2 linked regions of the Diceros bicornis minor genome follow. The protein of the gene in region 2 interacts with the protein of the main gene of each other region in a pairwise test. Links are inferred from orthologs where the notes say so. Each region holds a gene or a part of one and is shown on either strand. Other genes may lie near its edges.

Region 1 (15,309 bases), on a different chromosome or scaffold from region 2:
GCAAGGATTTAGAAACTGACTGGATAGTGGAAGCACAATAGAAGAAAAGTTTTTAAAGGTAAAGTTAAAGCTTGGATAACTGGGAAAATGGTGCTTCCAAGAACAGAAGGAGGAAACCAAAGGGAAAGGTGAAGTTTATAGAGAAAGAAAAAGTTTCTTGTAGGACATTATGAGCTTAAAATACAAGTCCATCCAACAGACAATTGGAAGCAGACGTTTGGAGTTCCAGATAGGAATCGGAGTTAGAAATCAGGGTCTAGATCGGGAAGTGAAGCAGATGACGTCAGCGCTCTCCCAGGTCCCCTCAAATCCCTTTATACCATTTCTGTGTGCCCTTCTCCCCGCTATGGTGTGGGTTCAATCATCAGCACCCGTGGGCCATTTTTGGAAGATGATCGTTAGCTACCGGAAGTGCATTGCCTGCGTATATAGACTGCTGGAAAAGTATGGAGTTTATGCATCCTCTTTCCTTCCCTCAGCCTTTCCCAGTGAAGGTAAGGTGTATGAAATTCTTGCCTTAATCATGCAACAGTGAGACATAACTTACACTCCACTTGTTCTGCAGGATCAGGCTGACCTCTGCCTGAGCTCCCACCCTTGCCTGGGTTCCCCTCCTCCCTGTGCTGCTTTACTCACTCCTCTTCCAGTCTCCTCCAAAAGCACTTCTTTACTGAATCCATTGCACAGGAATCCATATCTCAGGGGCTGCCTCTGGGGAACCAGATTGAAGACAAGGAATTTGATAGTATTACTCATGTCTTCCATATTGTCGCTGACTTTCTTTGTCATTCTTTTATCAATTATTGAGAGGGTGGTGATGAGATCTCTGATTCTAATTGTGGATTTCTCTATTTCTCCTTACATTCTATTAATTTTACATGACTTATTTTTAAAATTCTGTTATAAAGTGCATAAACATTTAGGAATTTTAAGTCCTTTTGATAAATTGACCCTTTTATCATTATGAAATAACTCTCTTTACCCCTGATAACTCTTTTTGCCATTGAAACCTATTTTGTGTGATATTAAAATAGCCCCTCAGGCTTTCTCTTGATTACTTTTATCATGTTATACCTATTTACATCCTCCTACTTTTAACATATTTGTCTTTACATTGAAAGAAAGCTCTGTGTAGACAGTGTATAGCTAGGTCTTGCTCTTTATCAAATCTGATAATCCTCGCCTTTTCAATGAGAATTTTAGGCAATTTATATATAATGTGATTATTGCTAAAATTGGATTTAATTCTACCATCTCTCTGTTTTCTATTTGTTCCACGTGTCCTTTGTTTCTTTTTTCTTCTTTGCATGACTTCTTTTGAATTAATTGTGTATCTTTTATGATTCTTTTATAGCTCTTTTGTTGGCTTTCTAGCTATAACTCCTTCTGTCTTGTTTATTGTGATTTTTTTAGGGTGTATAGTACATACATTTTTTTCACATATTATACCACTCCAAGTGGAGTATAAGGACTTCAGAATATTATATTTGACATTTCCATCTCATGACCTTTGTGTTATGATTGTCATATCTTTTATTTTTACATATAATATAAACACTAAAATACACTTTTACAATTTTTGCTTTAAACAACTATTATAATTTAAAACATTTTAAAAGTAAATTTTGTATTTATCCACATATTTCTCCTTTCTGGCCATTTTCATTCTTCATGTTGACGCAGATTTCCAACTGGCATCAATTTCTTCTGCCTGAAAGACTTCCTTTCCCATTTCCTATTGTGTATTTCCTTCTACTATCAATTTTTTTCAGCTTTTTCTGTATCTGAAAAAGTCTATATTTACAACACCAAAGACATGATCCATGAAAGAAATAATTAACAACCTGAACTTCACTGAAATTAAAAACTTCTGCTCTGTGAAAGACAAAATCAAGAGAATTAGAACACAAGCCATAGACTGTGAGAAAATATTTCTAAAACACACACTGATCAAGCACAGTTATCCAAAACATACAAAGAATTCTTAAAAATAAACAGTAAGAAAACAAGCAATCCAATTAAAAAATAGGCCAAAGACCTTAAGAGACATCTCATCAAAGAAAATATACAAATTGTAAATAAGCACATGAAAAGATCCTACACATCATATGTCATCAGGCAAATGCAAATTAAAACAACAATAATGAGATACCACTACACATCCATTAGAATGGCCAAAATCCTGAACACTGACAACACCAAATGCTGGTGAGGACGTGGAACCACAGGAATTCTCATTCATTGCTGGTGGGAATGCAAAATGGTACAGCCACTTGGGAAGACAGTTTGGTGGTTTCTTACAAAACTAAACATACACTTACCATAGGACCCAGCGATCATGCTCCTTGATATTTACCCAAAGGAGCTAAAAACTTAAGTCCACACAAAAACCTGCAAACAAATGTTTATGGCAGTTTTATTCACAATTGCCAAAACTTGGAAGCAACCAACATGTCCTTCAGTAGGTGAATGGATAAATAATCTATGGTACATCCAGACAATGGAGCATTATTTAGTGCTAGAAAGAAATGAGATATCAAGCCATAAAAATACATGGGGGAACATTGAATGTATATTACTAAGAGAAAGGAGCCAATCTAAGAGGCTACAGGTATGTTACTATATGTAATAACTATCTGATATTCTGGAAAAGGCAAAACTATCGAGACAATGAAAAGATCAATGGTTTTCAGTGGTGGAGGTATGGAGAAGAGATGACTAGGCAGAGCATTGAGGATTTTTAGGGCAGTGAAAATACTTTGTATGATATTAAAATGATGGATATATGTCATTATACATTTGTCCAAACCCATAGAATGTAGAACACCAAGAGTGAACTGTAATGTAAACTATAGACTCTGGGTGACTATGATGTGCCAATGTAGGTTGGTATAAAATGTGCCATTCTGGTGAGTGATGTTGAAAATGGGGGAGGCTATGCATGTGTTGGGGGAGAGGGTACATGGGAAATATCTACTCCTGTCTCAATTTTGTTGTAAACCTAAAACGGCTCTAAAAAAATTGTCTTAAAAAATAAATAAAAAATTTTTAAAAGTCTATATTTTACCTTGATTTTTGAAAGGCATTTTTACTGCATATAGAATTTTAGGTTAACAGTGGTTGTTTTTTTTCCTTTTGTCTTTTAGTAGCTTAAAGATGTTGTTCTATGCTCTTCTTGCTTATACTGTTTCCATGAGAAGTCTGTTACCACTCTTATCTTTGTTTCTCTGTGTGTCATGTGTCTTTTTGCTGATTATTTTGGAGATTTTCTCCTTATCACTGCTTTTAAGAAATTTGATGATGATGTGCGTTGGCGTGGGTTTCTTCACGTTTCCAATTCCTGGAGTTTATTAAATTTATCATCTCTGCGAGTATAATTTAGATAAAATTTGGGAATCTTTCAGCCATTATTTCTTCACAAACGTTTTCTCTCTCTCTCTCTTCCTTCTGAGACTCTATTTATGAACATATTAAAACACTTGAGGTTATCCCACTGCTCACTATGCTATTAATTTTCTTCAGTCTTTTTCTTCTGTGCCTTTAATTTTAGTTTCTATTTCTATGTCTTCATGTTAACTAATCTTTTCTTCTGCAGGATCTAATCTGTTGTTAATTCTCTGCAGAGTATTTTTCATCTCAGACATTGTAGTTTCCATATCTAGAAATTTAATTTTGGTCTTTTTTACATGACATGCGCAATCTTACTCTATTTTTTGAAATATGGAATGCATTTATAATAACTGTCAATGTTCTTTCTACTAACACAATCATCTATATCATTTCTTGGTCTGTTTATAGTGGTTGATTATTATCCTTGTTATGTTTCATATTTCCTGCTTCTTTACATACCTGGTAATTTTTAATTTAATGCTAGATATTGTGAACCTTATCTTATTGGGTGCTGGACATTTTTGTACTCCTTAATATTCTTGAGCATGTTCTCTGATTCAGTTCAGTTAACTGGAAATGGTTTAAGTATTCTGAGGTTTTTTTAAAAAGCTGTGTAAGGTAGGACCAGAGTAGCCATTTGTCTAAAGTTGACTTTGCCTCAGAACTGAGACAATACTTTTTTGAGTACTCTATCCAGTGCTCCATTAAGTAGGAGATTTTCCACTCTAGATGGTGCAAACATGAACTATTCCTGTCCCTGTATGAATTCCTGGGATTGTTTCTCTGCTCCTTTGGAATGTTTCTTCCCTGGCCTCAGATAAGTCACCTACCTTTGTGTGCTGATAAGCACTCATCTGAATATTTAAGGGGGACCCTCTGCTCACTTTCAAAGCTTTCTCTATATGCAGCTCTTTCCATTCTAGTACTCTGTGAACTCTAGCTCCTTTGGTTCCCTTCAAATTCCCAGGTTCGCCACCTCAGTTCATGGAGACTGCTACCCTCCACTGCGGTCTCCCTCTCTTGTACTCTGGAAACTCTCTCCAAACTGAGAAAATCATAGGGCTCGTGCCATTTCTTTCCCATCTCTAGAAGATCACTATCCTGCATTGCCTGATGTTTAATGTCTGAAAACCAGTGTTTCATATAGTTTGGGATTTAGTTGTTTCAGACAGGCAGGTAAATCCAGTCCTGGTTATTCTAGTTTGGGCAGAAGTCAAGTGTTGCTGTTTTTGATGACAGGGGAAACTTGTATATGTTCATAGAGAGGGAAAGATTGAGTGTAAAGTGGAAATTAAAAATTGAAGAGAGAGAAGGGAAAATTAATGGATCAATTTCATAAAGGAATTACAAAGGGGAAATAATGAAAAGCTGAGATGGCTCAACTTTGGATAGGGAAAGAAACACTTCTTATGAAACAGGAAGAAAGGAGGAGAGTAATGGTGATGAAGCAGAGAAATTTAGATACAGAGTTCATTTGGTCAGCTGATATTACTTGAACTCCTATTATATCATGTGAATAAATCTCAGCTACTTCCTTCAGTGTGGGAGAGGGCATGAAGGAGGAGGAGAGTGAAGTGTGATTCCCAGCATAGCTCTCCCCCAACATCACCCTCTTTCCAAATTCTCATTCCTGAGCTTTCCATATTCTTGATAGAAGTGAAGGGTTTATAGATTATCAAATGGGTTCTCAAGCCTACTTTAAAACTTCTAGTGGTCTAATTCACAGCTCACATTGGTATCTGATATCTCTCATGTCTTGGTGCCTCCACTGAACTTCTCAATTTAATATCCTGTTATACAACACTAGCTAAGGATATGAGACAAATGAAAATATAATTTCAATTTAGTGAAGTAAGCATATCAGGTTATAGAAACACACTGGCTGGGAGGGAGCCCTATGGCCAGAAATGCTGCCATAAAGAATTGCCCTTATGATCCAAAGGAATTATCCAGGAAATATATATGACATAGAGGAGTGGTAAGAAGAAAGGGTGTTCCATTAGAGGGAGGAGAATGTGTAAAGGTCCGGAGGCAGAGGAGTTATTGGAACTGTAGGTGGATTAACAGGACTGGTGAAGTCAGAGAGCTCATTACAAGCTGCACCCCAGAAATTCCTTGAATGCATTCCAGGGAGTTTTGAATTAAGTAGAGGAGTGGATGTGATCAATTTTGTGTTTAGAAATAATTCTGATAGCAGTGTAGAGAATACAGGGAGGGAAACGAGACTGTTAGAGTATTTGTTGTGAGAAGGAATAGTATCCCGTGACAGAGTGGGAATGGAGAGAAGTGGATATATCCTAGAGAATACGATCGTAGAACTGCCATCAAAACAACTAACTAAATATGTGGCAGGAGAAGAGCTACAAAGGGAAACACCCAGATGTTTGTCTTGTATAACTGGATTGATGGTCCTGTTTTCAATGAAACAAGTATTACTGGTTAGATATCCTAAAACTCCTCGTAAAGTAAGAGGAGAATGATGGAGAGTTACATGAATAGGAGATAGACATCATAGAGAATGTTAGCATTCCAGGGAATGGCAGTAGCAAAATTCCAAGTAATAAGGTAGATCCAGATGTGATTTCACCTCATTGAAGGTAGCAAGTGGTTGTGAGGCAAGATTGTTGACAGTATCATGAATATGAACAATGACATTCCAAAAAATGGGATCCCAAGGAAGTCTGTGTGCAAGGTAAAAGTCATGGTGGAAGTCAGTAAACCATGGAAACAGGATGAGGAAAGAGCAGAGAAGTGAAACTGTTAAGAGCTCACAGTCAGTTGTGTGAAGGAAGAGACAGAGTGGTGGGGCGGGGGTGGGGATGAATGCTTTTCTTCCTTTGGTTCCAGAAGTGTTACCTTCATTAGAAGCAAACTGGTATTATCAAGAAAAATAAAAGGTTTGGGTAGTGAGGAAAACGATTCTAGGGAGGAATTCATTTTCAAGCAAATGATACATTACAATAATAGAAGAGGCCTCAACAACAATCTTTTTCATCCCACTGGTCATTGTGCAACCAGGTAGAAGAGGGAAAGCAAGGATGGTCAGGGATGGTCAGGGATATACGGCATAATGAGGAGGGTGCTGGAAGGCACACAGTGAAAAGTTTTCCCCGTGGTGGCAATTTTTTAAACAAGCACAACTGAGGCTCTTGTGAGTCATTAGCACTTCTGGAAACTCCAAAGTCATTTTAACTTTGTTCACTGAAATTTTGGGGGCCCATCATAGTTGCTGAGCATCTCCATGACGAATTTTTTGAAGAAATCTTCCCTTTGAAAGTTCTTTACGTGCTCACTGAGAAATGTTAGGCATAAAATAAAACAGACAGAAAGATCACTCTATACCAATAGGATTCTGAACACAGAGAGGGTTCCTTGATGAAATAAATCAGTGCAGAAAACCTTAAATTTCTTTTAAGTAAATACCACACATTAAATATCAGAAAGTGATGACTAAGAGGTGGAGAAGATAGGCGGTATATACAAAAGGTTTCACCCACACCCAATTTTGTGGTTTCTACCCTGATGCTGCCACCACACCTATGAGTTTCGCTTGTTAAAATGATAAAGACGTAAAATGACTAAAATCTGCTGACCAGTGCATAGAGCTAAATACAGTCCTCAAAGGCTAAACCTGACAGACAAGGTAAGTATTCAATTTGGAGAATGTCTGATATTGTTAGCTAATACTGTTTCCAACCTGGTCTACATGTGTATGCTGGTGTGTGTAGTTTATCTTCAGCTGATCTTTGAGAAAATTAATCTCATCTCCTTTATTTCACTTATAAAATGTTGACATTAAAACCAAAGATAAAATGGGGATAAATTGGGGCAGAGAATGCAAACTATACATAGAATCCCCCCTTTTTTCCCTTAATCCTTTTAAGTGATTAAAAGACAACAGCAAAGACAACTAAGTTTCAGACAGGTGAAATCAATAAAAGTTTTATGTGGAAAATATAACTTATGCAACATCATGTGTACACAGGAGTGTGGTATGTGCATGTGAACAAATTAGAAAAACAGCAATCATCATATTAGCTACCATTCGAGGAGCGGTTACTATGTGCTAAATTCTTTGCACCTTATATCATGTAATTCGGGCATGCATTCGAGGTAGGTATAATCCATGCTCATGCCCATTTCACAGATGAGCACACCACGGGCGCACAAAGCAGCCAGTTACCTGCCAGGCATCCATCGCCAATGCGCGATGCTGTCCTAGTGGTGTTTTAAAAATCCCACTAGAGTCCCATTTAAAGCAGATCCACTCCACACCAGGTGTGACTGGTGACCTGGATTTTATCTTCTGAGTCACAGCTCGCAGACCTGTCTTCCAGTTAAATTGAGTAAAGTTGAGTAGGGGAGCTGTGAGGGTTGGGGGAAGGACAGGTGGAAGAGAACAGGTGGAAACTAAGAGGTGGGACAAAAGGAGCAAATAAAAAGCAAGACAGCGGGGTCCGGCGTTGAGAGGCTCGGGGAGCGCTGGGCGCTGGCCCGAAGAGGGGCAAGGAAAGCCGAGCAGGACGCACCGCGCCAGGTGGCAGCCGCACCTGTGCACGTGACCGGCGCGGGCGCCAGGGCGGAGGCGCGCTCACCTGGGCCACGTGACGGGGCGGGGCCCCGCGAGGCCCCGGGCAGCGCGGCCACGCCCCCTCCCGCGCGGCGCGCCGGGACCCCACGGACCCGAGCGCCGGCGGCGGCGGCGGGAGCCCGGGAGGCGGAGGCGGGCGGCCGGAGGTGGTGGCGCGCGGAGACGCAGCAGCGGCAGCGGCAGCGGCAGCGGCAGCATGTCGGCCGGCGGAGCGGCAGTCCCGCCGCCCCCGAACCCCGCCGTGTCCTTCCCGGCGCCCCGGGTCACCCTGCCCTCCGGCCCCGGCATCCTGCGGACCTCCTCGGGCGCCTTCGTCTGCCTGGAGATTGTAAGTGGGGCGGCCTCGGCGAGGGTCGCGGCTGGGGAGCGAGGAGTGGCAGCGGCGGCATCCTTGTCCCCCGGGCTGTCTCCCTCTGCGCACGCCCCCGGCTCCCTTCCCTTCGACGTGGCCTTCACCTGCTCCCCTCCCGGGGTCCTTTCGATGCCCAGCGCAGCCCGAACCTGGGCGGCGGCGCAGCTGCCCGGGCCCTCTCGCCTGGCACTTGTTACACTGGCACCTGCTTCCCCACTGGCGACAGAAATGGCCACAAGAGAGCGAGCAGGCGGTCCGGTGGGGCCGAGGATTGGGGACTTTGAGAGGAGAAGGGTGTTCGGGCTTGGGAGCGCCGTCAGAGACGCCCGGCGGCTCGGCCCGGGGCCGCGCTTGGCTAGAGCCGGAGCAGGCGCTCGCGGCCTCGCCTGTTGCTAACCTGCCATTTTGTTGGGCGGTGCAAAGGTGTAGCCGATGACTGGGTGACCGGGAGGCTGCCACCATAGGAAGAGCGGGGGCGGGAGGTACCAGGAAGAGGAGGAGGAAGGCTGAAGACTTTGGCATTTTTTTTCCCCATGCCATTATTAGTGCCCTTCGGATTGGGAAGAGGAGTAGGGCTCAGGAGACAAGGCAGGGGAAAAGGTGAAGTATGTACCGTGCCCTTGGCAGTTTCTATTCAAGTGGGCGTGAGAATGGGGGGAGAAAGGTACAAACGTGGCTGTCAAGTTCCCCGCTGCCTGCCTGCCTGCCTGCCTTCTTTCCTGGGCTGCTTCTGGAACTCCAACCTTCTGGCACACTTTGTTGGGCCGAGGTGAAGATAAGGTCACCTGGTCTGTCGTGCAACCTTCTTGGGCTAGAGACTTCAGCTTTTTAAGAGGAATTTTATGGAGTTGGAAGCTTTTGAAGCTAGTTGTGGACAAGGGGAAAAATGTGCAAATATAAATTGGGCAACCTGAGGTTGCATCATGCTCTGAGAATGGCAAATACAGGGTGAAATGTTAGCGAGTCAGTGCCTTTCCTGCAGGCTGGTTTTGTTTGCTCGGTTTGGGGTGTTCATATCTTGCCCCTCACCCCCTCCTTTGAGTTTGCATAACCTGGATTTGAGTCGCTTCGGTTTCACTTTTGTGCTTGTGGAACTGGAACGCCTGTGAACATTGGTTTTCTGTTCTACTATGCTAAGGGTAGCTCAGGCACCCTAAGTTAAGTTGAGCTCAGATTTGAATCTGAAAAAGGAGACAAGTGAGTTACAGGCTATGGCATCAGTAATCGGATCGTGACTGCAAGGCTAGAGGAGGCTGGTTTGAGTCTGAGCCCAGTTCAGAAGCATCTGAATGCTTGGGATGAGGCACCGGCATCCACGTGGGAAGAGCGGGGAGAGGATGGCCTTGGGCCCGCTGCACTGCTGTGGGAGGGAAACACGTTTGGAACAGTAAGAGCGGGGAAGAAAGATTTTATAGATGCTGGGCTACGTTACTTCCGTGTTCACCAAACTCCATTTGTTTGCATACTTCTTTTAGAAGTTTTTGCCATATCCCCATTCCACCTGTACTAGAATTTACAGAATGTTCATTTTAATATATTCACTTTCTACACTTCAGGAACGTACCGTTGCCTCATCCTAAGCAATAATATATATGAATTCTCAAATTTGATATGCTGGTTATATTTTTTCTGATATTCAAATGTATTTATATATATATATATATACATATGTATATATGTAAAGATAACGTATATGTCTATATCGAACCATATAGGTATATATATGTAAAGAAGGTTTATCCATGTGCCATCAAAGCATATACCATCTCAAGACCCACCTGCAGTCATGTGACACCTTAGGAAAGACTGCCTAATTTTGAGGAATAAAAGTAGAAGGTGATTTATTCTGTTTCTTCTCCCCCACCCCCAAAGCTCTTTAGCCCAGTTGTTAGTTCTCAACTCTTGCTGTACTTAATTACTTGGGCAGCTTTTAAAAATACTGTTGCCAGCTCAGACTAATTAAATTAGAATCTCTGGGGGAGTACCCAGAGTCGGCTAGGTTTTTTTAAAAGCTCCCTGGAGGTTCTAATATACAGTCATGGCTGAGAACTACCAAGGGAGGCCTTTATCACGGCTCTGTGGACAAGACAGCTCTTCTCTTGCAAATGTGGATTCTCTCTCTCTGCTAGAATTTCTACCACTCCCCATTCTAGGAGTAATTCCAGACTCATGGAAGAATCCAGTCTTTTCCTCTTATCTCTTCATTTCCTCTGGCTTCTTACCCCTGAAACATGTCTAGGAACCATGTCTAGATAGAACAGCATGACTTCCAAAAGACATTACAGTCTACTTTTCACTTTTTATGGCCAAACATCTTGATAGGTGTAAATCTTAGTCCTCCATTGCCTCTTTTACTTGAGTATCAATCTCCCTCCTCCCCAACCCACTCCCCAAAAATAAAAGGATCAAAATATTCCAATGAAACTAGTGACCTTAGAGAAACAAGAGACCACTTTGGAGCTAAACTATAGCTCCTTCTTGGCTCCCATCCTTCCAGATCACTTAGAGATATTGGATTATATGCTTTAAGAGAGCAGAGGTCAAGACCACTTTGGTACCCCACTATCTAGAATGCCTATACTGAGCAGACACACAGATAGGAGCTAAGTAAACACTTTTGATGTACCTTTTCTCCCAGCTTTCTTAATTTCCCTGTAATTTTCTCATTCCTTTAAAGTGTACATCTCCATGGCTCCTCTTCGGAAGTGTCTCCCCTGCAAATTAAATGTGCGAATTCTCCAGGAGCAGTTCTAAACTCTGGGTGATCTGCTTTCTGGGCACTGATTATTTTAGCCTTTGCCATTGTTTCTGGATATCCCCAAACTCCTCCTTAATTTTGACCTCTTATCCAGATCCATTTGTCTTCATGATTTCTCTATTTATGTCCTGTTGCAGTCTAGAACTTAACACATGAAAACTGCATCTGACAAAGATGAGCCATCAATAGTTGACTAAGCTAATGAGACCATGATCTTGGAGTTCAGGTCTCACACTAACCAGTAGGTTTGCTCAAAGAATTTGCTCCCAGTCCCCCTTGTTATACCCCATTCTCAATCTCTCAGGTGTAAGCCATTTGTCTGGGAGATAATTCAAAATGTACAAATAGTGCCAGCCTAACAGCACCAGGTAAAACAATTTATAGCACTGGCTTCATGGGTGGAGAATATTGCAGCCAGTGTGGTGCGGTTTCCTGAGATAGCTGTGTTCCACTCCTAGATACCTAAGTCATCAGCGCCTCGGTTTTTGGATTCAGCTGGACTTAACCAATGCATGCTTGCCATGAAGAGTTTAATACTAAGTTAGTTTTGCAAAGTGAAGCCTTTTAGTTTAGTATGGAAGACATCACCTTCAAAAGTTATCATTTTCAAAATCTCACAACATTTCCTGAATTAATGCTTTCTACGTCATTCATCAGGTGTTTATTGAATACCTACTGTGTACAAGGCACTCTTCTGTGAACAAAGACGTTTAGATCCTTCCTTACCTGAAAGAGCTTATAACCTAGTTGAGAGGATATGCACAAAAATAACTACCATTCAGGCAAGAACGACATGGTATGGAAAGTGAACCACAGCTAAAGCATTTTCCATTTTCTATAAGAAAATAACATTGGAGCGCTTGTACTATTGGTCTGAACAAGATATTTCGGGTCCCTGTTCTCAATGAGCTTATCTTGTGTAATGCATAAGAAAGATTGGACGTAATAGTATTAAACATGGAAAAGAATAAAGGTCATTATTGAATTCAGTGTGTTTCACAGTTTCAGTGTTTAGGAAACTGTCTACATTGCCCAAGATATTCATCCACATATCCCTTTATGGGGGATATCTAGGACTCTTATTCTCATGCTTCTAACTTTGGTGTTTTGGGTGCCACAATAATTTTCATTTATTCAACAAATAATTAAGAACCCGCTATGCATCAGGTCTTATTTTATGCCCTGGGAATAAGATAATTAACATAACTCCTGCCCTTGGGCCTGCCCCGTGGCTTAGCGGTTAAGTGCGTGCCCTCTGCTACTGGCGGCCCGGGTTCAGAACCCTGGGCGCATACCGACACACCGCTTCTCCGGCCGTGCTGAGGCCGTGTCCCACATACAGCAACTAGAAGGGTGTGCAACTATGACATACAACTATCTACTGGGGCTTTGGGGAAAAAAAAAGGAGGAGGATTGGCAACAGATGTTAGCGCAGAGCTGGTCTTCCTCAGCAAAAAAAAAAAAAAAAGAGGAGGATTAGCATGGATGTTAGCTCAGGGCCGATCGTCCTCACAAAAAAAAAAAAAAAACAACATAACTCCTGCCCTTAAAAGAAATTCCTGTACAGTGAAGTATAAAGTTAAGAAGAATTACAATGCTGTGTTTGAAGTGGTAAAATTGGTTTATGAAAAGTACTATTGAAAACCAGGGTAGGGTACATTTGACCACTGAGGAGGCTAGAACAGGCAGCTTTAATGGGATGGTGACAGATGAGTTTAGCCTTAGATGATGAGTAGACATTCAACAGACAGAAAAAATGGGAAAGAGAATTCCAGGCAGAAACAAGGGCATGTGCAAACTTCAGAGACGAGAAAGAGCATGGCATGAAGGAGATTCTGGCAGTTGTTAGGTTTTTTCTTTTTCTTTTTTTCTTTTTTTTTACATGAGTTGTGGGAAGGTGGCAGAAGAAGGAGAAACAGCAGGTAAGTTTCAAGTTATGATTTGCTGAGAAATGATAGGCCAAGGCATAGAATTTATTCTGTCTGTGGTAGGGAGCTGCTGAAGGACAGGGGTAAACTTGATCAGACTTGTGTTTTAGAAATCTTTGAGCAGTGAAATTTGGTTATAAACCAGAGAGATTGGAAGCAGGGAGACCAGTTAAGGGGCTTATGGCAGTAGTTTGGATATCTCATCATCCGTCAGTGATGAGAACCTGAACTAGGACAAAGGAAAGAAGCAGAGAGGAAGAACAGATGTGACATTTGACGTGTCCTGAAATGATACTAGACCAAACTTAAATAGAAGATGTAACTCAGAGGAATTATGCCAGAAAAACCAATGTTGATGAGAGGAGGATGGGGAGGGAGGGGCTGTGAAGCAGGCATGTGCAGTCATGCAGATACATTTATGGAAGGGATTTCAGGTTATTTTCAACCCAAAGTTTTGATTTTAGACAGACTAATGCATAAATGTTCAGATGTATAGAGTTTTATTTTCTTGCCCAGAAAACAGATTTTGGTTGCAAAGGGAAGTTGTGTGTTTGCAGTGCTGAAGAGGGGTTACCCATGGCTATGTTTCCCTCTCTAAAAGGGTTTTAATTCTGTGAGATTTTTCCTTTGCCCCTGGGTTAAAAACCTCCATCCATGTGAAAAGACTTTAAAACTTCTTAAGAGAAAATAAACTGATGCCCCTGCCAATGATTTTCAGCAATCATTTGCCCTGACTGGCAGCCCTGTAAGAAATATGAAAACTGAAATTTGGAAAACTTTAAATCAAGTTCCTATACACCTTGACCTTGAGTTCCAAAGGCAAAGGTGAGGGAGAGGGGATTTGTTTTATGGAGCCCTCTAGAAATGTCATATCTGGTAGTAGAAGCTGTGAACGTGGCGTATCTGCATTGATGTGTCTTATTAGAAAAGACTGCATAATGACCAAGACAGGAACCGGGCTGGCATACCCAATATCATGCATGTGAAGTACTTAACAAATGCTGCTGGATTGTCCTGTAGGACAAACAGAACAGCGTGTGAGAATATTTTAGAGAAACTGGCTAGAGTGAGACAGGCAGCTTGGGAGCAGATGTCCTCGTAGGTCTTGCCTAACTTGAAATGTCATGATTCTTCTCATCTACGGTTTGACCTGAAGTTCCTGTGTCCTATTTTATATGAAAAGGGCCATGTCCTTTCATCGTCACCATATATGACATTCTTAACTTTTGGATAATAGCTTTCAAAAGGAGGGAGGTAAAAAGAAAGAAAAGAGGCAGTGAGTTGTAGAGTTCTTGCTGATGTCAAGGCATTGGCATGCATGAACATTTTTAACCTAGGTGATAACTAGTTACCTATAAAATGAAAAGAAGATTTTAAAAATTAAGGAAAATTATAAATAAGAATAAAAAGAGACCAGAACATATTTCTTCCCTGTAATATGTGCTTTGCATTTTAGAGTTAGCATCAGCTATTTAAGAAACTGAAATGGCAGTTGGGGTCAGATGGGGAGGAAGAAAGTGTAACTCCTTACAGCATCCTCAAACATTTTTTTGTGTGTGTATAAGGAAGATCAGCCCTGAGCTAACATCCGTTGCCAATCCTCCTCTTTTCGGCTGAGGAAGATTGGCCCTGGACTAACATCCATGCCCATCTTCCTCTAATTTATATGGGACGCTGCCACAGTGTGGCCTTATAAGCAGTGCATAGGTCTGCGTCCAGGATCTGAACCTGTGAACCCCGGGTCGCTGAAGCGGAGAGCACAAACTTAACCACTATGACCCTGGGCCGGCCTTCCTCAAAAATTTTAAAGCTGTCGAATTTTAGATTTAAAATGTAAATCTAAAAAGCAAAACTTCTTTTGCATTAGTATATGTTGTACATAGCCCTCTTACTAATATATGTCATCTCTCATTGCTTCCCAGAATGTGTCTTGTTTTCCCTTCCTTGATTTAAAAAAAACAAAACACCTTGCCAAATTGTGCCTCTAACTCAGAACTGTACCAGGGCTAGTCCAGGACCAGTTTGGATGGAAGTCAGCATGGTGAGAGGACAGATGGGGATTAATGGAGGAGAGCAGGAGGGGGTGGGATAAGGCATAAGATAAACACTACCCTGGTCAAAAGTTCCAGTGGCAATTACAATAGAAGAGGTAAATTGAACAAATTTAGGGCCCTAAGAAGATTGAAAATGGGGTGTCTTGAGCTAGACAGGCAAAAGGTGCCAACTTCCTCATAACTTTCCACCCTAGCCTCCTGAGATCTTGTACTAGATGGTGGGTGTTGCCAATAAT
Region 2 (15,352 bases):
GAGCCGAGGGCAGACCGGGCAGCTCCGGGTAAGTTTCAGCCTGGCCGCGGCGTCCAGGTGACAAAGACTGCCCGTGACACAGGTCAGGCCTCTCTGGCCCAGCCAAGTGCAGGTCCCTCTGGGATGCAGCCCCCGGAGCCCCCTGAGGCAGATCCTAAGCTGAAGGGAACAGCCTCTGAGCTTTGACTTCTTTTTTAAACCAGTCAGACCTGTTCCCAACCCAGCCCTCCAAGGCCTGGCCTGCCGTCTCGCTTCCCTGGGCTCTGCCAGGGCCTGAGCAGGAGCCAGGCAGGGGCTGGGGCCGAGCTGCCCCGTCGCCGGAGAGCCCACTCCCACTCTGAGAGGGAGCCCACCATGTACGACCCAGGGGGCCCCAGGCCTGTGACTGTCGGAGGAGAAGAGCACATTCAGTGCGAGGATGAGCTTGGCACGTGGGCCGTGCGCAGGAGACTGCTCGGCCAGATGCTCCGAGGGTGGAGAAGCACTTCCAGCGGGTGGTCACGGGAGAAGGCCAGGATAAAGGGAGGTACACACGGGGCTCTAGAGGGCAGGGAGGGGACAGAGACCGGGCTGGGTGGGGAGGAGAGAGGAGCACCCTGCTCCCATAGAAGGAGGTGGGAAGGTACACAGCAGCCGGGGCAGACCGGTCAGACTCGAGTGTGCTGCCCACAAAGGAGGAGGGTGGGAATTAAAGCTGGGACCAGGGTGGTGCCCCGGAAGGTCCTGAATGCCAGGGTGGGCTCAAACGGCACCCCAGGTCAGCCGGGGCCATTCTCATCACGTGTCCAGGCCTGTTTCTCCAGGTGCGCTGACGAAACCGCTCCGCTTGTCCACTCACAGCCCACGGCGCAGCCATTTGCTCACTCGTGTGCGGGGGCAAAGGTCCCTCCGTCCGTCCAATACTTACTGAGTTCCTGGGCCAGGCCAGCGGCCAGGCTCAACACCGGGCAGACAGCAGTGGGCAGAAAACACAGGCCTGCCCACAAAGAGTTTATAAGCCAGCGACAAAGACAACTCAACAGTCACCCAGGTCAGTCTCAGTCCTGGACTGGGAAGGGGCTACACAGGAGTCCGTGGACCTGGGATCTGAGGGATCAGGGGCCGGCAAGACCCGTGTGGAAGGGCAGAAGGGACACACCGAGGGTGAACGCATGTTCACCAGGCTGAGGGCAGGAAGGGCTCGAAGGGCCCAAACAAGGGCCACTGCACTGGGTGGGCGGTGTCACACACCGGGCATGACGCCCGCCGGAGGGCTTTCATGCCCAGGTGTGGAAATCCAAGCAGCCGAGCGGGAGCCCTTTCCAGAGCGGGCCGCGGACGGATGCTGAGTCAGGCTCTTCGGAGGAAATCGCACGTCTGTTTTCCTGCTGTGGTTGGAGGCTCCGCGTGACCCCACTCCAGGGGCCCAGTCAGCAGGTTTTTCTAGGAGCAGAGTGGAAAAGGAAGACCATGCCGTCCTCTGGGAGCCTGTGTTCGCAGAGCCCTGGTTACTGCTTAATGGGAAACGAGTAGAAACGCCCCCAAACTGCAGCGCTCAGAAGAGGCTGCCAAATCCAGCCTTGTGAAAGGAGAGAGGGACAGAGAGCGAGGAGAGAAGAGAGCGACCAGCTGCTGCCCCAGCCTCACACAATCTTCCACCCAGCTCTCCAGGGACAGCTTTGAAAAAGAACAGGAAAAGCCGACCCTAACACTCCACCAGGCGCATTAAAAAGCCATGGGGTTTGAGCACAGGGGTGAAGCCGCCTCAATAGGTGTTCCTAACCCCCCGGGGCGATAAACGCCTGTGGCTTGGCAGCTTCCACATGGAACCCTCCAGAAGGCTCAGAAACCTCGCCCGCCCTGGAAATCAGAAAGAGAAGACAATTTGCCGTTCCTCCTACTGCAGCCCCCGAAATGCAGGGGCCTCTGAAATCCTACAGAGGAAGCTGGCTGCACGCCCCAAATTAAAAAACGACGATTCCCCAGACTGGATCACTTTCAAAATACTGGTAACAACTGAAGAGAAGGAGAAGGGCTGAGATAGGGGCCAGGGCAGAACTAACTAGCCCATGTCCCTGGATCAAAGGCAGTGGGACACACGTGCCAGAGGCAAATGGCAGGCCTCAGCGGGTCTGGCCAGGACCTGAAGTTCTTCCTCTGAGGAAGAAAGTGAACAGACGCACACACCGACAGCTGAAGGGCAAACCAGCGCAGGCCCCCAGTGTCCTGTGCGCTCAGATGTGGGTTTCCCGAAGGGAAGGCTGGGTGGACAGGCGGGTGGGTAATAGCACGATTTTCTCTGTTCGCTTGCTAAGTCTTTGACAGTTCTGGGCCTCAAAAGCGTGACACGCCCCAATTTCTGCAACTGAACAGGGAGATACTGTGAAACGCCTAACCACACAGGCTGTTATTAAGTGGCACATGGAATATAATTAAGTATCCTACAGCTTTGCCTTAAAACACACCCAGATCAACAAGGCGATTAGCTCACACGGCGCTCGACTGGTCTTTAATAAACACAGGACTGTGAGTCAGAGGTGAACTTGCGGCCTAATGTACCATAGTCACGGGGCAGCAGAGTCAGAGTACGGTGGCCCCTCAGTCCTGGTGTGTCAACAACAAGAAGATGCAGGATGCTGCTGGTGACGGAGAGCCTCGGTGATTATGCACAGCGCGTCCTGCCCAGGCGGTCAGGCTGACCCGGTTTGCAGACAGGCCTGGGAGTGCCGGGGTTAAGGAGGCCCCGGGTCCTTTGGAGAAGGGCAGTCTCAAACTACTTCTTGTAGCTCCACAGTCCAGCCTAACACACCGGACTGGTCACTCCACCCGACAAGCTAGTGATGGCAAGTCAGACAAGCTAGTGATGGCAAGTCAGGAGAGCGATCCAGCCCGTCCACTGATGGAGCAGGATGGGAACACCTCTGCCCAGGGGCCTGCAAGGATGTTACTAGTTCAAGGGTCTTCTTATAGAACGAGTCAGCAAAGTGGCTTCCTATATGAGGGGGACTTAACCCAGTTCCCATCACACGTGGACATCACAATGGCCCTTCCCACGTCGGCTGCCCCAAGTAGATGGTCTTCCGGGGGTCAGCCCCCAGCTGCCGAGCTCAAGGGCCTGGGGCTGGCACACCCCTCTCTCCACACCTTGCCTGTCACCTGTCCTTCCCAGCACATGGGTCCCACACTCATATTCATGCTGAGGCGAAGGGGTTACTAGTTCCAGATTTTTGTTTCTTAGGATCGTTCCACGTTTATTACTTAACAGCACTTTGTTAAGTTATTACTTTGTTATTACTTAACAAGCACTTTGCTAGGAAATGAAAAGCATGATTCCACAAAACGAGGTTTAAAAAATAGGTCAGAGCAAGCAGAATCTGGGGACGTTCCAAAACGCCAGCCACCGCCCCCAGTGACTGCTTACTCTAACAGGTCGGGGTTCTGGGTCCCTCAGCCCGCACCCACCCACCCCCCGCCTCTCACAGGAAGTTCGATCTTGCCTCCCCAGCACACACCCAGGGCCTCCGAGCATCCAGCAAACTTCAACGCTATGGGATATGGCGGGCGTGAATTTTCCTCCTAGCTCAGACAGAACCAATCTTTCAGTTCAAACTCTCTCCCTCCTTTCAGGCGAAAAAAAAAGAAAAAAAGGTCAGGCCAGCATTCCAGGCCGCTGCCAGCTCCGTCCCTAGTTACACTCTCCAATCTCCACACACGAGAATTATCAGGAAACCAGCCAGCAGTTTAGGTCTGGAAATTAACGTCACCCGAACACACACCACAACGGGAAGTGAACTTCTGAGCCTGGGTCTTACCAGCAGGGTTCCTTTTACCCTCCTTGGTTCCCCAGAAATACTCATAAAAGCATCCCCCCAACTCTAGACGTGCATAAATACCAGACGGCTATGGAGGGTGTGGGCGTCACACAGGCAGGATGGAGGGGACCAAACCACGGGCCCCAGACAGGCGCCTATTTCTTTCACTGTTTTCCTCCAGATTCGTCAACTTTCCTCAGCCCAGGCCCTCAGCCAGTCAGTGGCCAGTTCATAATAAGAAGTAAAAACTCACACCCTTCCCACTCAAGCCCAAACTGATTTAAAACAAGAAAGTTAGTCGACCAGAGACGAACCGGGGTAGAATTTGCCAGTACATGGCAGACACTGGTAACTGGTTGGTTCCCAGCATCACCTGTGAGATGAGAACCGTTTTGTTAAGGTCGCAGGCTCATCTGCTAGAAAGAGATGTCTCTATTCCGGGCTGCCTCTCGCACGCACCTCCACCTGGCTTCCATTTCTCAATTTAGAAAGGACATTGTCACAAGCCTCTGAAATCAAGAACCTGTTTCAAAGCGGGGTTTCTCAACCTCAGCACTGCTGACATTTGGGACCAGGAAATTCTTTGTTGTGGGGAGGGCTGTCCTGTGCATTGTAGGATGTTTAGCAACCACCCCTGGCCTCCACCCACTCGATGCCAGTAGCATCCTCTCCCCAGGTTATGACAACCAAAAACCGTCTCAGACATTGCCAAATGTCCCGGGGGCGGGGGTGCAGGGGGTGGAGAGGACAGAGGGAAAGGTTAGTAAGCCCTGGTGGAGAGGCACTGGCTCAAGATTACACCTTCTTAAAAATACCAGGGGCCAGGACACTCTGAGGTTCTCCTAAGGGCTTAGAGGGGGGGCTTGGGGTCCGTATGCTGCATTTTACGTATGCATCCATCTGTGTACACCTGGGTATGTGTGTTTTGAAAACTAGGAGAAGCAGGCAGCTACCACAAGAATGGCCCAGGAGAGATTTTTTCTTGTTGTTTTGTTTTGGTGTAATTAGCCTCACTTTTCTCAAACCTTAAAGCAGAGTTTCTCAACCTCGGAACTACTAGCACTGCGGGCCAGGTAATTTGTGGTTCTGGGGGGGCTGCCCTGTGCACTGAAGGATGCTGAGCAGTGCCCCTGGCTGCCACCCACTAGATACCAGTAGCAATCCACCAAGTTGTGACAAGCAAAATGTCTCCAGATACTGCCACTGTCACCTGGAGGGCAGAACTGGCCCTGGTTGAGAACTGCTGTTCTACAGGACAATAAAAGTCCCCAAGTCCTTTTGTGGGAAAAGGGGAGTGCATTGACGCTCAGGCCAGAGGAGAGACCAGTTGAGACCAACTGGTTTAAAGCACATTGCCTGTTCACATGGTGGAAACTCAACACATACTAATTATTAGTACATAACGAGATATGTTACTCTTGAACAGACGACTCTATTCCGAGGGCGCAGAAGAGGATGTAAGAGGTGTTCCTAAGAACGAGAAAAGAAACGCACACAGAGATGGACACGTCCAGATAAACAAAGGAGCTGCTGGATGCCCGTGGAAACTGTTGCAGAAGAGAAAGGAACACAGCCAGGGTGAGTCTTGAGAGAACTACTCAACACAAGAGTTGATGGGGAGGCCGAGACAACCGCTCTCAGAGAAGGATGTGGCCATCAGAGCAATTCTCTGGGGCTGGGCCTCAGAATGTGGAGATAAGAAATTGATCTGAACCACCAGCTTACACTGCGCTGTGCTTTCCAGGTTTCAAGGCGCTTTTCACAGATCTGAATGCGGGCCATCCTGGTTCCCCGAGAGAGAACACTCTGGCAGCTGGCCTGAGAGGCCCGGCTGGTTCCTTTAGCTGGGTGTGCCTGCTGGGGACGGTGTGGGCCACCAGCATGGGGCCTGATAGCTGGGGTGGGGAGGGGAGAGCTTCCGGAAACCCGTCTACAGGATGGTACAAGTGGTCCAGGAATTCTTCCAAGACCTACGGGGACATTGTTCCTGTGCAGGCCGGACTACACAGGGGCCAAGACAGTGAGCAGCACCAAGGCACTCCAGCCAACCACGTGGGGGTCTGAAGCCTGCTGGGCAGAGGCTAACCCAGGGCCAGATCACTGAATTCCATCCTGCTGGGGCAAAGGGCTGTACCCTCAGCAACAATCCTAAATGCCTCTGGATTACGTCCCTCTTCCTTCAGGGTTTAGCCACCATCTGGGGTCTAGATATAGACCCAAATATCTTTAGCCCTAGACAACCAAGAGGGTCGTTACTTTTTCCCTTAAGGGCCGAAGGGCATCAGCTGTGTGTTGCTGGGGACTTACTTCTCTTCCCTCCCACTGGATCGCTCCAAATTGTGGGTAGAGTTTGGCTTGTCAACACGGCCCAAAGAACTCCGAAAATCATCGCTCGTTCCTCCGTGGAGTGTATCCACACAAACTCCACACCTACAGTTCTTAACCTGGGATGCAGGGACCAACAGGGTTCAAGGAATCTGGGGCTTCTGGGATCTGAAATTATAAACCGAATTTTGCATCTGCCTGGTTTTCTGGAGAGTGGAGCCATAGCGTTCGCCAGATTCATGAGCCACTGGGCCCGAATCTTCCAAAACACCTATACTCTCTGTCACACATAAAATGCAGATATTCTTGGATTCAGCATTCCACTTCTGGGAATTTCTCTTATAAATCCAATCCCACCTGTGAGCAAAGATATTCACTGCAGTGTTGTTTGTAGCAGAAAACTGCTGGAAACAACTTAAACATCCATTGATGGACCGGTTAAATACATTATGATACACATCCATCGATAAACCAACTAGGTAAATAAATTATGATACACTTGGTGAAATGTAATACCACGTACTCATTAAAAAGATCCCAGAAGCTCTAGGAGCATGCTTTAGTCCAGTAGTTCCGGGGGAGGGGGCGGGGGGAGGGAGGGGGTTCCCCCAGGGAAATCTGGCAGCCACTGAGACATTTGTGGGTGTCACGGCTAAGGGTGCTCCCAGCATCGAGCGGGTGGGGGCCAGAGATGCTGCTCAACCCCCCACAGTGCCCAGGACGTCCCCCCACAGAGAATGACCCCAGGTGGAGAATTCCAGCTCTACTGTGATCTCCAAGACACATTTAACGAAAAACACAAAGTCCACAGGACGGTGTCGACTCTGCTACCACTATATGTGTGTTTTTAAAGGAGAGGTGTACACGTATCCTTAAAAAGAGACCTAAGTCGCGGGTGACAGTCCTGATCGTGGGGAGAGGAACTGGAGTGGGAAACTGACTTTTCACTCTAACCTTTCAACTTTGCACCGGGTCCATCGAAAGGGTATTTTTTGCCTTTTGTTTTAAAGAACTGCTTTAGACACAAATGTTCCCTTCCTCTGCGCTCTCTGGCAAGAGTTCTGTGTCGACAGCCTCGGGACTGTTCTTCCCCTTCTCTCCCTCCCTACCCCTGCCCTGTTAGAGGGGAGGAAAGGAGGAGAGGGATCACCGCCCTGGGTCACCCCCTGGGTGCATCTCTGCTCCTCCCAGGGGTCTGCCCACCCCTCCCGAGGAGGCTGGAGCACACAGGGCGGCCAGGGCCCGAGCCACCTCGCCCGCAGCCCCTGCCCCTCCTGGGCTCTCCCCACCCCGCGGGGGACACGTGCCAACGCAGCCCCCTCGGCCGCCTCCCGAGCCAGGGCCGGGCCTGGCCCCCCACTCCGGGCCGCCCGGGGCCCCCGCCTCGGCCTCCGCTCACCTGGCTCGCCTTGTAGAACTGCTTCTTCAGCCCCGCCACCGACATGCTGCCTCCCGCCGTCGGGCCTCCCGCCCGGACCCCGCGAAGCGGAGGGACCGCTCAAGCGACAGGCTTCCGGGCGCCGCCAACCCCCCGCGCGCCTCCGCGGCCACGGTCAGCGCCGCCTCCTCCGCCCTCTCGCCAGCTCCGCGCCCGCCCCGGCGCCGCCTCAGCCTCTCGCGCGCCCGCGCGGCCAGGATATTACATGGCAACTGCACACTTCCGGTGCCGGCCCGCGCGCGCCCCGGCCCCGTCTGCGCACGCGCGCCCCCTGCCGGCCGGAGAGCGCACGCGCACTTCGCCTGCCGTCGGGAGCGGGGAGGGGGGCCGCCCCCGCCAGCGAGTGGACCGGGCGAGCCTAGAGGGGCTGTGGCGGCTGCATCGACCTCTGGAGTCCCGGAGGTGGCCCCAACGTGTTAGGAAAGGCGCTTAAACCTTTCTGGAGAGGTTGGGAGGCTGTGCTTACAAGTCTCCAGACACCTGTCTGCTAATCTCAGCTGTACCCAATTCCTCTATGCTACTTTTTTCTTTAGTCCCTCCCACCTACCGGCAACCCCGCCCCGTGTTCATCCATTCAGTTTCCCAAGTCAGACATCAGGGCGTCGCTTCTACCTCCTTTCCACTGCCTCCATTGCCCTCCCTGCCCTAAGCAGACCATTCCACCAGCCTCCTCTCTGGTGTGCCCACCTTTAGATTCTCCCCTCCGATTCACCCCCTACAAGGCAGCCAGAAGGATGCTTCTATAACAATTCAGATCACATTAGTCTCCTGTTTTTAAAGTCCACCTACTGCCCTCAGAATACACTCCCAACTTCCTAACACAGCCTACAAACTTTGCATAACTTGGCCTTGTCAACCCTTCTGACTTTGGCTCTCTTCATCTTCCATAATCCGTGATCCCTGAGCCTATGGGCCTTTGCTAACGTTGTTCTTCTCTTGCACAGTCTTCCCCAATCTTTCGCTCCATCCTTTGCACATAAAATAGGACTCTGCTTGGAATATCACCCCCTCTAGGAAGACTTCCCAGATTGATGCATGCTTACCGATCTTGATTTTTTAATCAATTGTTATTGTATTGAATGAATTGGAAATTAACAATGAATTGGAATGAGTATGTGAACCCAAAAAGAGGAACAAGAAAGTGACTAGAGCTAAGGGGCTTGCAACTTCAGTGCTGAAATCTCTGACATTTGGGTGATTGTCTGAAGCGGAAGTTTGCTGGAAGTTTCCAAATGCCTCAACAGAAGGTCCTGGACTAGATCAGAGGATTGTTTCGGCATATGCATGCCCTAGCCTCCCTCTCAAAGATCCTGATGGGGCCATTACAAATAGTTTGAAAAAACTCTCCATGTGATTCTGATGGTCACTGGTCTAAACCATTGCAGAACGCCAGAATGTCAGAGAAGGGAGGGAAAACACCTCATGGTTCGTACGGGGAAACTGAGGCCTTGAGTAAGACGTGACTTGCACAAAGTCTTGCCCACATTCCCTATTTCTTCACATTACTTCCAACCAATTCTACTGATTTAACTATCTGATCTATACAATCAATAGAATTCTAAACTTGGGCTAAATTTCGGTCTTCTCACTTCTGCTCTGCTGGATTAAATTGCTGCTGGAGAAAACCTACTCTGAAGGTCTCTGTTCTGTGTGAGCCTTTTAACCTATATGATCACAAAGTCCAATCAAATGATATTTATGCAATCACTCAAATATTTATTGTCACCTACTAATGTATCAGTCACTGACAGGTCTCAGGGATACAGTGATGAATGACTCCTGCCCTCATGGAGCTAATGACAAAAACAGAAATTACGGCATGAATCAAATAACACGGTAATAAATAAACATAAGCTGTAATTTCTTCGAGAAAAAGAGCAGCGTTGTAGGAACTTCATTTTGTTGGGGGTAATGGAGGAAAGGTTTCTCCGAGGTCTAACTTTAAGATCTGAAAGTTAGGTAGAAATTAGCCAAAGAAAAGAGCTTCGGAAAGAGTTTTCCAGGCAAGGAAACAGTGTATAAAAATCCTGAGGATTAAATCGGAAACATTCATTTCATTCATTCCCCCTGAATATATTTACCGCATGTCAAATACTTCTGAAGCGATGCCTAGAGTTTATTTGTATTGTCATATAAAAGCAATTTACAATTTTAATTGCTGTTGGTGTATTCAGCCGACGTCCAATTAGGATAAACTCAAAACTTCAGGCTTCCTCTAAATCGCAGCTTCAGGTTGTCACCCGTCGCCCTACGTAAAACGTCTCGTCATGACGTAAGAGCCTGACCCGCCCTCTTCCTACCGACCTATCCCACGCGCTCAGCCAATCACAGTGCCGAGCTCTCAGCTTGACACCTCCCTCCCCCAATCGCAGGGCGCCTCCTCTTCGCCAATGACAGGCAGCCAAGAGGAAGCCCCGTCCCTCCGCGGGAATATCAATAGGGGAGCCACGGGAGGAATGGAAGCCTCGGCTCTCGCGAGGATGCTCCCGGAGCTCCCCAGTTCCCGAGGCGGGCCGTCACGTGATGCGGCCTCGCCCAATCGGCGCGCGGGCTGCGGGGGTCGCCGCGGTTCCCGCCAAATACGAGCGCGGCGGCCGCGGCAGCAGCGGTGCGGGCGGGAGGGCGAGCAGCAGCGGCCGCCTGAGCGGAGCCTGCGCCTCCGCCGCCTGAGGGGAGCTCGAGCCGCCGCCGGAGAGATGCTGGAGGAGCCGGAGTGCGGGGCGCCGGGCGCCAGGGCAGCGGCGGCAGGTCGGTTCGGGCCCGCGGTGAGGGGAAGGGGGGGCGCGGCGCGCGGCCTCTGCGGGCCGAGGCGGCGGTTGGGGGCGGACGGGCCGAGGCGGCGGTTGAGGGCGGACGGGCCTCCCGGCCCCGGGCCCGCGCCACCGCGCCGGGCGTTCGGGCCGTGGGGCCGTGCAATCCCGGGGAAGGGCCTTGCGACCCGGAGGGCGCGCTCCTTGACGTTATTGTTGTGGCCGCGACCATTTCTTTCCGGCGCTTTTGCGGCAGTACGTCCTTGCAGGGCCCTGTGCGGTGACGGGTCGGTGGGGGCTGGGAGGGGAAACTGAGGCCCGAGGAGGCGAAGGGGCCGGCTTGGCAGGTAACCGAGTGCGTTTGGGTCCCCTGAGCAAGTTGGGCCCCGCAGCGACCCTCTGGCCGGGTGGGGAAACTGAGGCCCGGGCTCACACGGGCCCGGGGACCCAAGGGCTGGGTCTGCGGGTCAGGGCAGGCCGAGGGAAGAGGCTGGGTGGGGGGATCGTCAGGGAGCCGGGACTCCCGGGTTCTTGATCCTCCCGGTATGCAAGGTGACCTGTCCTCCTCCCTGTGGCTTGGGAGGGGGCTTCCTAGCAGCCAGCAGGCCCCGACAACGTGGGAGGCGAACCAAGGACGGCCCGACTACCCCTCTCCCCTGCTTGACTCCCATTTTGTCCCCAGCCCTTGGCACAATGCTTGGCACACAGTAGGTGGCCGAAAAAGATGTGTTGGTGGAATGAATTAAGGGGTGGCAGGGACATCAATTAGTCTAGTCCAGGGGTTCTCACCCTCAGCACTGTTGACATTTGGGGCCGTCCTGCGCACTGTAGGGTGGCCTGGAGCAGCATACCTGGCCTCCATCCATTAGATCCCCCTAGCAACCCCTCTTGCCCAGTTGTGACAACCCAAAGGTCCAGGCATTGCCAAGGGGCCCCTGGGAGGCAGAGTCACCCGCTAGTTGAGAACCACTGCTCTAATTGTTTCCAGATTTGGGGATTTCACAGAGACTTAAAATTCACGTAAATAAAGTCGGGACTGATTGTCAGAGACAGTCATTTGACCCAGTGAGGATGTTTAATTAATTTATTTTTTTTATTTTATTTATTTTCTTTTACCCCCAAAGCCCCAGTAGATAGTTGGATGTCATAGTTGCACATCCCTCTAGTTGCTGTATGGGACGCGGCCTCAGCATGGCCAAGCGGTGCATCGGTGCGCGCCCGGGATCCGAACCCAGGGCCGCCAGCAGTGGAGCGTGGGCACTTAACCGCTAAGCCATGGGGCTGGCCCCAGAATGTTTTTTTTTTTTTTTTAAAGATTTTATTTATTTATTTTTTCCCCCCAAAGCCCCAGTAGATAGTTGTATGTCATAGCTGCACATCCCTCTAGTTGCTGTATGTGGGACGCGGCCTCAGGATGGACGGAGAAGTGGTGCCTCCGTGCGCGCCCGGGATCCGAACCCGGGCCACGAGCATCGGAGCGCGCACACTTAACCACCAAGCCACGGGGCCGGCCCAGAATGTTTAATTTAAAAAGCACCACTTGCTATGAACATACTATCATGAAAGGGAAGAATGTTTTAAAGCCAAAGAAAAATTAGGAGGGAGGTATCTCAGAATTAAGGGCAGTGGTAAGTTTATACACCAGTGATTGTTAATTGTATGTGTACTTCTGAACAGTCTGGATCCCTCGGTGAAGTCCCTTTTTATGTCGACCCGAGGCTGTTTCTGGGCCTAGGTTACTTCTCTCCCACTTGCATCAAAGCTAGTGTTTCAGCGCCACACCAAAAAGATCCTTGTGGCCGTCCTAAAAATAAATTTAAGTGGCTAAAGACTGTGTATCTCTCAGTTGAGGGGGGAAAATTCATGTCTTTGCTAACTGAAAATTCGAGAATGATGTTTTGAAATGGGTGGAAAGGAAATGTGTCTTCTGGGTACCTTTCTTTTTTTTTTGAGGAAGATTGACCCTGTGCTAACATCTGTTGCCAGTCTTCCTCTTTTTTCTCCCCAAAGCCTCAGTACATAGTTGTGTATCATAGTTGTAGAGTTGTGGCTCTTCTATATGAGACGCCGCCTTAGCATGCCTTGATGGGCGGTGAGTAGGTCTGCGCCCAGGATCCAGGAACCCCGGGCCACCAAAGCGGAACCCGAGAACTTAACCGCTCCACCTCGGGGTCAGCCCCTGGGTACCTGTCTTATATTCCAAGCTTGGAAGGGAGAAAGGCAGTTCCTCTATGGATAGTTGAGTTTTTTAGAAAGCCCTGATCTACTTTTAAAAAATACTCACTTGTGTGTATCTTTTAAGGAAAAATATGTAGATTGCCCAAAATAACTCAACTAGATTTTTCCAAGCCAGATCTCCTAACAGGTGTGAGCTTCTAAACTTATTCTAACCATTTAAAAATATTTATCCAAAGGCTGGATTCTATTTACAGTCATTTCTGCCTCAGCTTTGATAGTATTAGGTGTTTTTCTTGAGATTTTTTTCGTGCAGGAAAACATTCTCCTTTATCATTTCTTGACAGCCCTTCAGCTCCGGCTGGGCAAACTCAAAATGCTTTAAATTGTATTACCTTCATAAACTCTATTTTAAAAAAAGATAAACCCTATGCTAATTTTACAGATTTGGTGGCGGGAGAGGTTGGATTGGAGGAGGAAGTTTTGGGGTCATATTAATGGTGAAATGGGTAACGTGGTGCTTTCTCTCATCTCTAGTTTTACTCCTTCCTCTTTTCGCTGCTCCTGTGCTGTAGTCATTGATTTCCACCATGTGCCAATCCTGAGTGAGGTGCTCCAGGGGCAGTGTGGAGCCAGTCCCCTTGCTGTCACAGAGCTGGTGTTCTGTTGGGGGGAGACATAACAAACAGCATAAGTTTCAGAGCAATAAGTGGCCAAGGAAAATAATACAAGAAGTGACAGTGTCCAGGGCAGAATTTCTCAACCTGTCACCATCTGAGCCAGAGAATTCTCTGTTGTGGGGGCTGTCCCGTGCATCGTAGGATACGTAGCAGTCTCCCTGTCCTCTGCCCACTGGATGCGAGTAGCACCCTCCTCCCAGACATAACAACACAAAATGTCCCTAGACATTGCCAAACGTTCCTGGTGGGGGGGAGGATTGACAAAATCGCCCCCGCTGGACAGCCACTTTGTACAGAATAGGTGCTACATATGTATTTGCTGTTTTGTTATTTCCAACACTTAATAACTCGTCTTTTTGACTCTCGTTCACAGCCATGGATTGCAAAGACAGACCAGCTTTACCAGTCAAGAAGTTAATACAAGGTAACTTTCTGGGAATGGGTTCAATATTCGTTCCTGATTTATATCCTTCATTGTCTTCTCAATTAGATTTTTAATTCCCCTTGAGCAGAGGCCATGTGTTGGGGTCCTCTGCAGAAGCATCCAGGGGCTGGAGGGGAGCAAGACAGTTGCACCTTACAGTCAGAAGCTGGGAAACCCATTTTATTAACTCCCGTTCCCAGGAGCAAATCCAGAGGGTGCAGCCTATACAGAGGGGTTTCTCTGCTTCAGCACTGTTGACATTTTGTCATTTCTCGTCCTGTGTACTGTAGAGAGTTCAGCAGCATGCCTAGCCTCCTCTGCCAAGTCGTGACAACCAGTAATGTCTGTAGACATTGTCAGATGTTGCCTGGCAGGCACTGAGTTGAGCCACTGTTGTACAGGAAGATAAGTGGCTCCAAATCCTTTTGTGTGAAAAGGGCAGCGCGTTGACCCTTAGGCCACATTAGTGGCTGACTGTATAAAAAACTATGGCTTCTGGCTTTTAGAACTTGATTGTCTGGTTCCCCTGTAGCAGTTTGCCTTGTCCTATGACAGCTGATAGCAAGTTTGGTGTTGGCAGGAGACGTGTGAAGGACAGCAGTCTTCTGAGGTTAAAGGATTTGGGGCAAACAGTAGAACCAAGGGCATGACTGTTTTATAAGCTGATTCAGAACAGGTTTATTTGTTTAGTCTATTACATTATGAAAAGTTAATGAGATGTTTTGGCATGTAAGTAAACGTGGGCTCCTTGGGAAGTTCCCCCATCTGATTTTCCTCACTCCTGAGGTGTGGCTGTGTATCACCTAGAACCAGCCAGAAGCCCGGCAGGCTATGGGAGGATGGTTGTCTGATTGACAAGAAAAGCTAACAGCCTGGGATGCTAGGGGCAGAGAGAGCTCTTTCCGCAAATGGATTTGTCTCTCTTGCTCTTCCGAACCAGATGCAGTTATCTTCAAACGGAATTTCCACCCATGATAAATGAATTTGGAATTGGAACTGGATCTTGAACAGATCAAAAAATACCTCGAAATTCTGGCAACATCCCTGCTATAAAAGCTTGTCAGGGGCCGGCCCGGTGGCGCAAGCGGTTAAGTGCGCGCGCTCCGCTGCGGCGGCCCGGGGTTCGCTGGTTCGGATCCCGGGCGCGCACCGACGCACTGCTTGGTAAGCCATGCTGTGGCGGCGTCCCATATAAAGTGGAGGAAGATGGGCACAGATGTTAGCCCGGGGCCGTCTTCCTCAGCGGAAAAAAAAAAAAAAAAAAAAAAAAAAAAAAAAAAAAAAAGAGGAAGATTGGCGGATGTTAGCTCAGGGCTGATCTCCTCACAAAAAAAAAAAAAAAAAAAAAAAAAAAAAAAAAAGCTTGTCAGTTTTTTGTTTGTTTTGAGTTAGGATGTTGAAAAAGTGCAGAATGAAATGATAACCCCTTTTTAAACTTTAAAATCCTCCCCCAGCCCAGCAAGGTCGATAATGTTCAAGCATATGGAATATTAAGGCCTTGATTGTGGCTCTTCACACTTTCACTAAAAAGACGGCCTCTTCTCTCCCTTTCAGCTCGTCTCCCATTCAAGCGCCTGAATCTTGTCCCAAAGGAGAAATTGGACGACGGGTTGGAGGACACGAGAAGCTCCCAGACTGCTCCTGTGCAAAGTCAAGTCCCCGATTTAGAAACCTCTTTGGACCTCTTGGAGAGTGACTGTCATATGGGTTCTGAGATAGATTTTAGGCCAAAACTTGTCAATGGGAAGGGTCCCTTAGATTACTTTTTA

The links.
Region 1: the proteins of SH3GL1 (region 2) and MAL2 interact in binary tests that used the Homo sapiens proteins (3 or more experiments, as listed by UniProt). The two-hybrid records come from large-scale screens. The link is inferred for Diceros bicornis minor from reciprocal best matches to the Homo sapiens genes SH3GL1 and MAL2.

What each region holds. Positions count from the first base shown.
Region 1 is NC_080760.1:35,419,048-35,434,356, forward strand, and holds the start of MAL2 (protein MAL2), read left to right. Parts: upstream 1-8,163; 5' UTR 8,164-8,177; coding exon 8,178-8,309; intron 8,310-15,309. UniProt on the Homo sapiens protein: Member of the machinery of polarized transport. Required for the indirect transcytotic route at the step of the egress of the transcytosing cargo from perinuclear endosomes in order for it to travel to the apical surface via a raft-dependent pathway.
Region 2 is NW_026691553.1:3,313,065-3,328,416, forward strand, and holds the start of SH3GL1 (endophilin-A2), read right to left. Parts: upstream 7,696-15,352; 5' UTR 7,561-7,695; coding exon 7,516-7,560; intron 1-7,515. Other genes in the region: CHAF1A (chromatin assembly factor 1 subunit A), read left to right, coding at 10,251-10,302, 13,533-13,583, 15,138-15,352. UniProt on the Homo sapiens protein: Implicated in endocytosis. May recruit other proteins to membranes with high curvature.